Schizosaccharomyces pombe: one gene and its partner. The protein of the gene in region 1 interacts with the protein of each later gene in a biochemical or structural test. Each region holds a gene or a part of one and is shown in the gene's direction. Other genes may lie near its edges.

What was found.
Region 2: the proteins of psc3 (region 1) and psm1 form a complex in vitro, tested with the Schizosaccharomyces pombe proteins (one study listed by BioGRID).

The regions. Positions count from the first base shown.
Region 1 is NC_003424.3:2,034,610-2,041,068, forward strand, and holds psc3 (mitotic cohesin complex non-SMC subunit Psc3), read left to right. Parts: upstream 1-1,685; 5' UTR 1,686-1,793; coding exon 1,794-2,058; intron 2,059-2,103; coding exon 2,104-2,216; intron 2,217-2,254; coding exon 2,255-2,350; intron 2,351-2,398; coding exon 2,399-2,808; intron 2,809-2,858; coding exon 2,859-4,458; intron 4,459-4,506; coding exon 4,507-4,911; 3' UTR 4,912-5,005; coding exon of another isoform or gene 5,006-5,276; 3' UTR 5,277-5,322; coding exon of another isoform or gene 5,323-5,691; 3' UTR 5,692-5,739; coding exon of another isoform or gene 5,740-5,795; 3' UTR 5,796-5,935; downstream 5,936-6,459. Other genes in the region: WD repeat protein Cdt2, read right to left, coding at 1-1,041; SPOM_SPAC607.02C (uncharacterized protein), read right to left, coding at 5,006-5,276, 5,323-5,691, 5,740-5,795; U3 snoRNP-associated protein Snu13, read right to left, coding at 6,327-6,459.
Region 2 is NC_003423.3:2,539,073-2,545,657, forward strand, and holds psm1 (mitotic/meiotic cohesin complex ATPase subunit Psm1/Smc1), read left to right. Parts: upstream 1-1,643; 5' UTR 1,644-1,670; coding exon 1,671-5,336; exon of another isoform or gene 5,337-5,382; coding exon 5,383-5,403; 3' UTR 5,404-6,085; downstream 6,086-6,585. Other genes in the region: histone H3-H4 chaperone, CAF assembly factor (CAF-1) complex subunit A Pcf1, read right to left, coding at 1-881; exonuclease I Exo1, read left to right, coding at 6,477-6,585. UniProt on the Schizosaccharomyces pombe protein: Involved in chromosome cohesion during cell cycle and in DNA repair. Central component of cohesin complex. The cohesin complex is required for the cohesion of sister chromatids after DNA replication.

The DNA.
Region 1 (6,459 bases):
AACATTAGTAACACCAAAATCGCGTTTTGAAGTAGTTAATTCGGGAGTAGTAGCAGCAGGTAAAGGTCGGACGGTATGTACAGTTCGTAAATCCCATAACTTTAAGGCCGAGTTTGCAGAGCAGGACGATATAACTTGCGAAGTAGATTGAGGGAGCCACGTAGCTGAGGTAATTGAGCAATCCCTTCCCGAATTTTCATGTGCTTTTCTTATCCTTAACACTGGTTTCTGAAAATGCTCACCGTCAATTGTTATCCCGTGTGTTCGCATATCCCAAAAGATAATGGAACCATCCCGAGAACAACTTACCAAATTATAAGGAGAATCATTGCAAAAATTAACCTGCTTTACTGAATGAGAGTGGTATCCATCGACACCTCGTCGTCCCAATCGAGTGATGCATTGTTGCGTTGACAAATCAAATACCTTTGATGTTTGATCGCCAGATGAAGTAGCTAATAATGAATCATCTTTAGAGAAATTAACACTAAATATAGCATTGTTGTGAGCAAGCCAGCCATGGATTCTTCGAGCAGACGGCTGATTTTCCTCATTCTGTCTATCGTAAAATCGAGAATCAAACAGCTCAAGAGCTCCAGTCTCAGTACATACGGCCAATAAAGACTCGTTATTAGCAAATCCAAGACAGAACGGGAGTTGGTTCAGCATCATTAAGCATTCCGAAGGTCGTGAGTAATATGTTTCGAGATTGAGTCTACCTCCCACATGACGAGAAGTTTTTGTGCTAAAAGGGTGCGACCGGGAACCTCCCAGTTGTCTGATTAAAAGTTCTTTACAAAGTTGAGCAGGTTTTTTTTGAATATGAACTGGCTTGTGTAACAGGGGTTTCTTTTCAAACACAATGCGTTTTCGAGGTGTTTCAATTTTTCCTCGGCTTTCTAGGAAGTCGTAAAGCTTATGTTTTTTGGAAGGTGCTGCGGGAGAAGAATCAGGAGTCGGAGGTAATGAGTTATTTGCACGTGAGGTAATATCTCGAAGCCCACCAACATCACTCAAAGCTTTTCCAATGTCCATATTCATGGTATAATCATGAATCTTAATTTAATCCGCTTTTGAGGTCGTGTGTTCCAGTTTAATTTAAGTAGTGGATGGTAGCGTGAGTATATTAGATTTTCGTGACGCGTGAACGCGACGCGTCCGTGATCCATCACATGCACCAAACGTTACCCAGAATATGTTAAAGTAACAAAACGCGTATTTCAAAGTCATGTTTAAGCATATTTGCAATTACAGATGGGTACAGCCTAAAATTCTTGAGGAATAAATAAAAAGGATAAAAGTTTTCTAATTACTTGTTAATTTTTCATAAAGGATGACTTTCGTATTTCTGCCTATGATATAATGAGCGCTCGAAAAGTTGTCAAATATCTCATTTATTAATAATAATCGAAAATATTACGCGTCAAAAGAATCTTTCACTCACAATTCTATACTTGTATAGTCAAATTACAATCTCAACTCGCGGAGTGAATATAAGTTAGCTGTTCACCTTGCAGGACCCAAAAGAAAATAGTATATATTTGTTTCAATCAAGGTAAAGAAAATTTTAATGTAATAACTTCGTTAAGTATAAATTTCCTTTCGTATCCTTGGATTTTCAAACACATTTATCCTGTCTAACACTATTGAACAAGACAAGTTCGTGCTTTTATCAACTACAGGTTGTGAACAACCTCCATTGTACAACACCAATAGTGCATTCATTACACTCTTTCCAATATTTCTAATTACACCTCTTAATTTATTTATAAATTATTTCTTTTTTTCTTCAAATGAGTGAGTCTGTTACTACTGGATCTGATGATGATGGAGGAGACAGAGAATCTTCCCCTGTAATGCTTTCTCAAAGTTTTGATCCCATGAGCAGTAGTTCAAATTCATCTTCTGAAGAAAATAGCGATGATGATTACGAGAAAACGATAAGCTCAAAAAAACGGCATCCACGGCCAAATTCTAAAGGAGTAAATGTAAAACGCTCTAGGAGGAACGCTATAGTTGAAGAGGATCCTCAAGAAGAAATTTTTAACAACTTATTTGGTAATGATAAAGTCCTTCTTTTTTTCAGCTACTAACACTGAAAAGCTTTTCTGCTTGACCAAAAAGTTGATACCATGGACATCGCGGTTTCGTGGTTTGCTGACTATGCAAAAGATAATCAATCTGCCCTTGCAAATCTTATTAACTTTATTTTAAAGGTAGAGTCATTCTTTTCTTTCTTTACTAAATATTTTAGTGCTGTGGTTGCAATCGTGCCATTAATGTGTTTGATGTTCAGGATCAAGATTCTGCTTCAGCTACTCTATCTCAAATTCAACTTTCTGTAGAGCGTGTAAGTGCTTTTGCGAAAATACTTTATTTGTATATTAACAACTTTAAGACTTCTACTCGTGATTATCCTTTAAATTCAAAAAATCTTAAGTTTAGGAATTTCAGAAAGAGATTGACCGGTCTTTTAAGCAACTTTGTGTCACAGTTGTCAATAAGAAATTACTTGTACAATAGCACTGTTTTTGAAGATATTATGTCTTGGGTCGTTGCCATGTCTTCTTCTACGATGAGACCTATTCGGCACACCGCCACTGTTTTCTGTTTGAATATTATGACTTTTTTATGTGAAAAATCTAAAGAACTATTGAACGAGCATGCAATTGCTACCAAACAGCTCGAGAAAGAAGAAAAGCGCTCTCGTGTAAATAGAAATCGCATCAACGAACTTAATAACAGTCTTGGTGAAATAGTCAAGCAACAAGATACATTGACTACATACTTAAATGACTACTTTGATAGGTAAAGATCCCTCAAACGCTTTAATTTATTTATACTAACCTTTATATTAGTGTCTTCGTCCATCGATATCGAGACGTGGAGCCTAAAATAAGGGTAGATTGCTTACAAGAGCTTGGGGTCTGGATTAATACTGTTCCAAGCATATTTTTTTCAGGAAGTTATTTAAGATACCTAGGATGGATGCTTTCAGACATAAACACTACCGTCAGATTAACTGTAGTTAAAGTTTTGCGCAAATTTTTTGAGACAGATTCATTTATTGGTGGATTAAGACATTTTTCTTCTAGATTTAAAGAAAGAATACTCGAGATGAGTTGTGTGGACGCCGATATTGGAGTTCGTGTAGCCAGCATTCGTTTGTGTAACGCTATGAGGACTTGCGGATTTTTAGAAAATTCTGAAATTTTAAAAGTGCTGAAGCTAATTTTAGATATCAATCCAAGGGTGCAACGTGAAGCCGTACTGTTTTTATGCAAAGTGGTTGACGAAAGTGTGAATGAAAAAATTGATTTATGGGGTGAAGAAGACTATATTCTAAAGGCCTTTTCTCAGACTTCACTTACTACATTTTCAGTTCATTGGATAAAATTTTCCCAAATGTGTAAACTTTTGGAGGAGGTTAGATTGTCTTACCAATCGAGCTTTGATTATGATACATTATTACGAATCTTCCAAAAAAATGGTAATTTCATTACTCCTATAACACAAGCTTTACTTAATGCATGTGAAATTGATTCAATCTATCAGTCATGGGAGGATATTAGCAACTTCGTACTTTTTGATAATTATACCTCGACTCTAAAAGATCCGATAGACAGTATACTTTCTTTCTGCAAGCTAAATGATTTTCAGGAATCTATTCTTTTACAGCTTCTCTCTGCTTCAATCCAAACTGTCTGTAATAACAATTTTATCACACCTAAAACGGTGCATAATAAGCAAGCGGCGGAAACGACCAACGATCAAAATAAAGATAAGGACTTACTTTATTTGAATCTTCTTCCTTACATTAATTCAATAACTGAGAGAAATTCTGCTTCACCAACACTTCTTCATGATTCTCTTCGTTTGTTATTCTCAATGGATTTGACAGAAATGACAGACCCTCAACTTTCCAGACATTTTGAACTTCTAATTAATAATTTAAAAAAATTTTTCCTAACCAATAATGATCTTCAAATTATTCAAGGTTGCACGATATTATTTTTACGGTTGGACTCTATTCCTGCTTTGAAAGAAGATTTGAAGCTTCTGGTTACTGACATTTGCGACCAGACGGTAACCGAATTTTTAAAGAATTTTGGATCTTTTAATATTCAAGATGCTGTAATAACAAAAGATGAATTTGTTATTTTTGAAGCTTGTTTAACAAGAATCGAGGGATGTACCTCTCTCAAAGATTTTTCTGACTATCCTGAGTTTGACATAATATATGAAAGGCTTGTTTCGCTTCTTTCGCGGGTTCCTAATAGCTATGAAGATACATTGAAGTTTTCTGCAATTAATACTTTACAGAGTCTATTGTTTTGGTTCTTTCTAAGGAAGGATAACCCTGCTGATGAGGAAAAAAAGAAGGATGATGAGACTAAAGTTTTTAATTGTTTGATTAATATTATGAATAATGACAGCTCTAAAATTTTGCAACTTCAGGTATACAAAATCAACTTATTATTTGATTTAAGAAACTAACTTGACCAGGCAGCCCGAACTTTTCTGGAAACAGTGATAATGAAAGAAGGTGTTAAAGCATCACATTACAACGATGACAATCGTGTATCTGAGGAGCATAACTTTTTAAAACCTCAATTTTTAGATGCTCTTTTAAAAATACTTGAGGGATGGTTATACACATATGCCAAAGTTGGTCAATTCCCCTTCAAGCGTTTGACTCAAGCAAGTTCTCCACATACACAAATTTCTTTGGACAAAAATCCACTTAATAGAAGGCTATTGGAACATGTATGTTGCGATTTGACTAGTAAATTATTAATAGTTGTTTCATTGTCAAATACGATAACACCAGAATTTTCACAACAGTTTTGTGAACTAAGAGGGCACTATGGACCGAAATTATCTGCTATTGTGGATGAGTTTTTGAATTAATTAAATTTAGATTTAATGCCTGCTGTATATTTAAAGTAATTAATTATTTTTAAGTCAGCATTAGAAATAAATTCTTTTTTCATTATTAAAAAGATTATTTCCGCTTGGTTTTCATTAATTCTCTATATTTCTCTATAAGTTCCAAACGCTGCTTTCCTAGAGCTTGGCGTCGTGCCATAGATTCTGTTTGACCCATATTATTAACTTTGGGAACATTTTCCAAGTACTTTGTCTCTTTAATTTTTAATTCCGGAAGTTCAGGAGGAGCTTGCACAGTTTCTCCAAAGGAAGGTTTTGTTTGTAAATTAGCCCACGGATCAGGCGAATTTTTTCGTTTTTTTCTAGACTCAATTTGGATAAATTGTCTAATATGTTAGTTTATACGAAATGAAATTGGTGATATACACATACCCAGTAGTATCCGCCTCCCATGTTTTATCTTCAAAATTTTCCTCAATTTCATTCCAGTCTCTTTCACGCTTCTCTTTTCTTTTCGCTATTTTTTTCTTTTCTTTTTTATCAGTAAATTCGTCTATTTTGCTCGGCCCAGACTTAAAAGATACTGGAATAGCCTTATTTACGCGCTGACTAAATTCACTAAGGCGTTCACCGGGTAATCTTTGAATTTTCCCATAATCTTTTTTTTTCTTATTTTTAAGGTTGCCTTTCTTTATTTCCTTCTTTTTAGATTCATGGTACTCTTTTTGCTGTAGCAATCGCTTGAATTGCTTTGGGAAGTTGTCATCTACACTTTCATCCTCCTTGGGAGCATGATCGAGTCTATTAACCAAATGTTAGTAAAAACATCTTGCTATAGAAATTTTTTACCCAATCTTTTTCCGTTCAGCCTCAAGAACGGACCTTTTCTTAGTCTTAGTAGGCATATTGCGCTTGGATAGTAAACACAAACGAGAAGCAAGTAATAAAGGAAAATAGCGAGCCTAGCTCGTATCGCAATTTAGATAAATTTGGATTTGTTTTAATAGATACTCATGGGATAACAGTAAAGTTTATTAATGAATACAAATATCTTTTTTTATTTTAGTGGACAAGCTGTAACGCTTTAGAGAGAAAAAATTTCAGAATCAAGTTGGAAGCAAGCTTAGTGAAGATACTTTTCGAATCATACACGAAAAATATATTAAAAAATATATATATCAAACACCAAATATACACTATCTTTATTAAAATCGTAATGCTCTTATATGTAAACACTCAACTATCTTTCTTGTTGAGTATTTTGCGAGCTAATTAATAAAAATTAAAATGACTACAAACAGAGTACTTGAAATTATATAGAAAGCGAAACAGTACAAAATTACAATAACAAAATAAAAAATTCGATAACAATCTGCTTCCATAAGAATCAAATTTTATTCTCGATTAAAAGAAAACTGTTCCCAAAATCCAAAAGTTTAGATGAGCAATTTCTCTATTGCCAATTTAATAGCTTGAATTTGAGGAAGTAAATCACTAGCCTCATTGGTAGTAATGCTGGCTGAAATCACCGGTCTACTTACACCACAAGCACGTCCCAAAGCAGCCTTG
Region 2 (6,585 bases), on another chromosome or scaffold:
CAAGATAAAATTTCTTGAGGTTTTGAAACAGATGGATCTTGATATGCGCTCATTAATTGTCGAACCTCGTTTTCGGAATTTCTATTACTAACACCTAAACTGTTTGCGGAGCTTACAGCATCTGATGGTGTAAAAATGTCGTTTAGCTTTAAAGGATAAGATTTAGAGGTTGAGAGGACTTCATCCAAAAAAGAATCAGATTCGTTCGGAGATGGATATTTGGAAAGGGACATCTGATGCTTTATAAAAAAAGGGCGAAACTCTTTCTCAAACTCATTCAGTTCATCCGTTTTGTCAGCTACAAAATTTTCGTTTGGCGCGATTCGTTTCTCAACTCCTTTGGTGAAAAAGTTGTTTAACTTCAATTGTTGTCTTTCCTTATTAAGGATTTGTTCTTGACGAAGGCGCTGTGCTTCTTCTTTCTCACGAAGCTTTTGATCCCTCTCCTCCTTCCGCCTTTGTTGTTCCTGCAATCGAATCCGCTCCTTCTCTAATTTCTCTAATTCTTTCATTTTCTTAGCGGCGATTTTTTCCTGTTCTCTTAGCTTTTTCTCTTGCTCTCGTTGTTGACGTTCCTTTTCACGTTTTAAACGCTCTGCTTCTTTTTGTCGAATCCTTTCCTCTTGGGCCCGCTGTTTTTGAAGCTTCTTTTCTTTACCCGCTTCAGCAGAGCCATTATAAATTCTTTTCTTTCTATTACCCTCATAACTTAATTTGCAAACGTACTCATCAGCTTCACTTGCAGAGTGACTGGAATGAATAACCGATTCATTCGGGGAACTCACTGATAAAGACGTAATGTCAGTGGAAGAGCTACATAACTCATTTCCCTTATTACTAGTAGAGGCCGCGACATCTGAATCAACACTTTCACTATTCATAGACAATGCTGCGAATATCAATAACAAGCCTAAGGGAGGCTAAAAACCGTGCGTAAGTTGTTTTAACGGACGCTCTGATCGAATAAAGAGGATAAAGGAGAGTTCGTAAATTATATGTTAATATTCTATTATATACATCACTATCCCAAATCTGTCTCACCAATCTATTATTCATCCATCTTAACGCTTATATAATTGAATAATTTAATTCCTTAGTTCTAACAAGATATGTACTGATTGATCTGAGTAGCTTAAACATCAAAGTTTTTTGCGAATGGGTTAATATGGTGATTTGTTATATATTTTACCTGACTACGATTATATAATATTACTGCTACATTGCATTACGATATTAATGTTAATATTTTATGGCTCATCTATATTATGATTGAGTTAATATCAGTTGACGAGAATTTTCTTTGAAATTATTTGCCATATTTTTTAACTGGTGATTGGAGTACCACAAATTCATTAATAATGAAACAAACGGATGTTGTTATCATCAATTTTCTTCCTATTTATATGCAGCAAACTTCTTTCAATAACGATGCATCGTACATATATAGGCAGGGGCTATGCAGCTTAGAATAGTAATTCGCTGGAAGGATAATATCATAATAACGAGGTTCTTGTTACAGTGAATATCAAGTTGCACTATATATTATATCGTGGATTTCTGAAACTTTATGAGATGTAATCGTAATGAGTAGGTAACAATATCTAATCAAGTAAAGACGCGTACGCGAGTTTCATACACACCTTGTACATTCCTTTTACCAAGTTTTCCTAATGGGACGTTTACTAAGACTGGAAGTTGAAAACTTTAAGTCTTATCGAGGACATCAAATTATAGGTCCTTTTGAGGACTTTACCTCGATTATCGGTCCTAATGGAGCCGGAAAATCGAATTTAATGGATGCCATTTCTTTTGTTTTAGGGGTCAAGTCTTCTCATTTACGATCAACTAATGTTAAAGAACTGATCTATCGGGGGAAAATACTGCAAAGAGATAATACAGATTTCACTGATTCTAGTAATCCTACTACAGCATATGTGAAACTTATGTATGAGTTGGATAATGGGGAGCAAAGAGAGTATAAACGCGCAATCACTCCTTCTGGTGCTACTGAATACAAAATTGATGAAGAAATAGTTACGTTTTCTGAATACTGCGGATCTCTCCAAAAGGAGAATATTCTTGTTCGAGCTCGAAATTTCTTAGTTTTTCAAGGTGATGTTGAAACCATTGCTTCGCAATCTCCTTTAGAACTTTCAAAGCTTGTTGAACAAATAAGTGGCTCTCTGGAATATAAATCTGAGTACGATAAATCTAAAGACGAGCAGGACAAGGCTGTAAATTTATCTGCTCATTCGTTTAACAAGAAACGTGGTATCAACGCTGAGTTACGCCAATATCAAGAACAGAAAACTGAAGCCGAGCGTTATCAAAGTCAAAAAGAAAAACGAGACTCTGCGCAGTTAGTTTACCTTTTATGGAAACTCTTTCATCTAGAGAAAAGTATTAGTTCTAATATGGCAGAGGTTACTCGATTAAAGGCAGATTCCATTCAACTTATCGAAAGGCGAGATGAGAACACTAAAGAGATAGAAAAGTTGAAAGAAAAAGAGGGCAGTATACGAAGAAACCTTCTTGCATTCGATAGAAAAGTTCGAAAACAAGAAAAGTTGATTGCTTCGAAACGTCCAGAGCTCATTTCAATTGCCGAGAAAGCCCTAGAGTCTAAGTCAAATCTCCGAAAAATTCAAAGAAAAGCTGCGGAAATAGAAAAAGATTATTCTGACCAAGCTAGTACGTTACAAGTATTAGAAAATCAATTGACTTCACTCTCAGCTGCTGAAAAAGAGTTTTTAAAAGACATGCAGGAAAAAGAGCAACTCAAAGGGTTGCGATTGTTACCAGAGGATAAAGAGGAGTATGAAGGACTTCGAAGTGAGGCGGACAAATTAAACTCAAATCTATTGTTCAAATTGCAGACGTTAAATAGGAATATTAAAGTTACTTCTCAATCAAAGGATTCATTAACGAGCATCGTTGGAGACTTAGAGTCGAAGATTAAAAGCCTTCATGAAAGTGTTTCTTCTCTTGATACCGAGCGAGCGGATTTGCTTGCTAAAATAAATGAAAAGATTGAAAGTTTGGAACTTGAAAAGCATGATCAGCAGAAGAAGAGGTTGACTTATTCTGAGCTTTTTCATAAAACACAAGAATTAAATGAAGAGCTTCAATCTTGTTTACAGAAAATTTTAGAGGCAAGTGCCGACCGCAATGAATCCAAACAGGATGCTAAAAAAAGAGAAGCATTGTATGCTTTGAAAAGGATATATCCTGAAGTCAAAGGAAGAATCATTGACTTATGTACTCCTACTCAAAAGAAATATGAAAGCGCAATCGCTGCTGCTTTAGGCAAAAATTTTGACGCAATTGTCGTCGAAACGCAGGCAGTTGCTAAAGAGTGTATTGACTATATAAAAGAGCAACGCATAGGTATTATGACCTTTTTTCCAATGGACACCATAGCAGCCAGTCCCGTTAATCAAAAATTTCGTGGAACACACAAAGGCGCCCGACTTGCAATTGACGTTTTGAATTTTGAGTCTGAATATGAACGTGTAATGATTAGTGCAGTTGGAAATACACTCATTTGTGATTCAATGACTGTTGCTCGAGACCTTTCCTATAACAAACGTCTCAATGCCAAGACAGTTACTTTAGAGGGAACGGTTATACATAAAACAGGGTTGATTACTGGTGGATCTTCAAACAACCGGTCGGCGAAACACTGGGATGACCATGATTTTGATCTGCTTACTCAAACAAAAGATAGACTTATGCATCAAATTGGTGAAATAGAATATCAAAAGTCATCTTGTGTGATTACAGAAAGTGATACTGTCAAGTTGCATAGTCTTGAATCTGAGATATCTCTACTCAAAGACAAATATACAGTAGTTTCTAGATCCGTGGAAGACAAAAAAAAGGAAATTGGACATTACGAATCTTTAATCAAAGAAAAACAGCCTCACTTGTCAGAATTGGAAATGGAACTTCGCAACTTTGTTAAAAGTAGAGATGAGCTTCAAATTCAAGTAGAAAAGGTTGAGGAAAAGATATTCTCCGGGTTTTGCAAACGAATTGGGATAAGTGATATACATACTTACGATGAGATACATCGCACTTTTACTCAAAGTTTTACACAAAAACAACTCGAATTCACCAAGCAAAAATCATTACTTGAAAATCGTATTAGTTTTGAAAAACAACGTGTTTCAGATACCAGGTTACGATTAGAGCGTATGCATAAATTCATTGAAAAAGATCAGGAATCTATTGATAATTACGAGCAAAATCGGGAAGCACTTGAATCAGAAGTTGCAACTGCCGAGGCTGAGCTTGAATTATTAAAGGAGGATTTTGCAAGTGAGAACTCTAAAACTGAAAAAATTTTATTAGCTGCATCCGAGAAAAAGCTAGTGGGCAAACGATTAGTGTCTGAGTTAACAAAGTTATCAGGAAACATTACTCTTTTAGAATCGGAGATTGACCGCTATGTATCTGAATGGCACGCAATTTTACGAAAATGCAAACTAGAAGATATAGATGTTCCGTTACGCGAAGGATCTTTGACGAGCATACCTATAGATGATGTCTCAAACAGCGGTGATATCACCATGGGCGAAGAGCCGTCTGAACCAGTAATAAATTTTGAGAAATTTGGAGTAGAAGTGGATTACGATGAACTGGATGAAGAGTTACGCAATGACGGTTCTGAGAGTATGGCTTCTGTTCTTCAAGAAAAATTGAGAGAGTATTCGGAAGAGCTGGATCAGATGTCTCCTAATTTAAGGGCTATTGAGAGACTTGAAACAGTAGAAACTCGCTTGGCGAAGTTAGATGAAGAATTTGCTGCTGCTCGTAAAGCAGCCAAAAACGCAAAAGAACGCTTCAATGCCGTTAAGCAAAAGAGATTGCAAAAATTTCAAGCTGCCTTTTCGCATATCTCGGAACAAATCGATCCAATATATAAGGAACTTACCAAAAGTCCTGCTTTTCCTCTTGGTGGAACAGCGTATTTGACTTTGGATGACCTCGATGAGCCATATCTTGGAGGAATCAAGTTCCATGCAATGCCACCTATGAAGAGATTTAGAGATATGGATCAACTTTCTGGAGGAGAAAAGACCATGGCTGCTTTGGCTCTGCTATTTGCTATCCACTCTTATCAGCCATCCCCATTTTTTGTATTGGATGAAATTGATGCAGCTTTGGATCAAACCAACGTTACCAAGATTGCCAACTATATTAGACAGCATGCATCCAGCGGTTTTCAATTTGTTGTCATTTCCTTGAAAAATCAGTTGTTCAGTAAATCAGAAGCTTTAGTGGGTATTTATAGAGATCAACAGGAGAATTCTTCACGAACATTATCAATCAACGTAAGGGATTACTTTTTCTTAATTTTAAAATACTAACGAAAAACAGTTGGAAGGTTATGTGGAGTAAATGATAATATTAACCTGTGATATGCTGCTTAATGTCTGTGTTAATATATTCTAAGAATACTTTATGTTTAATAGGGATGGCAAATATATATTTGCGTAATTTATTTATTTCTAACGAATTTAATTTTAATTGTTTTAAGTTTCCTTCTATAATTGATCAAGGACTTTTTTAATTTACAACGCTTTTTCTTTATGTCCTTAATTGATTTTGTCTCTGAATTGACTGGGCTAATGATAGAAACATTAATTATAAGTCACAATTGTCAGCTACGTTTATGTTTAATCCCTAGTTTCAAGGAAGTTGGGTTTAAGTGAGGTTAATGTTTTCAATATAATTCCAGTAACGCAGTTACGCTTAGACGATTCGGCTCACCCCTTGACTGTTTGTTAACTAATGAATTTGGCTGCATACAATTTTGAGAAGTCTCTACTATTCTAGAAGGCTTTCTCCGGAAACTAACTATTGCATTTTCCTTTTTAGTTTAACAGTATTTGCAGTCACAAACTAGCAAGAATACTTTTAAGAATAAACGTTTTATTAGCGACGAATAGTTTAAAATATGTTTAAACCCAACTAGATGCTAACCGCACTACATTTTTAAAACCGCAGCTTATAGAACTTTAAAATATTAATTTTGCGCTTGAGTTTTCCTCATACAGCTAAATTCAATGATTTGGTAATGGTTGATTGATTCACCGTAGTCTTAGTTAACAATCACGATAGATTTCAAACAAAGAACTTTAAAGAAAAAAACTTACTTATAGTATTATCATGATTTTAATGATTTCGATTGAATAGATGTTTAGAAAAGAAGTACACCAGCATACTCAAACAATGATAGCCGGCTCCTTAAATTATTTCACACATAAACAATAACAAAGCCTTTTATATTTATCCTTTCTTAATGATAAAGTAAATTTTATACTTGTTCGTTTTGGGCCTATCGACTGCAAGAATATATTTGTTGATCAGATACACAACACACTTCCAAGGGTACTACGTTAAAACTGTTACAGAACCAACATCTCGATAACGCACCTGCATTCTTTTGGTGCTTGACGAATGCTTTAAACATGGGAATTAAAGGTCTTTTGGGACTTTTGAAGCCTATGCAGAAAAGCTCTCATGTCGAGGAGTTTTCTGGCAAGACTTTGGGAGTTGATGGATATGTTTGGTTGCACA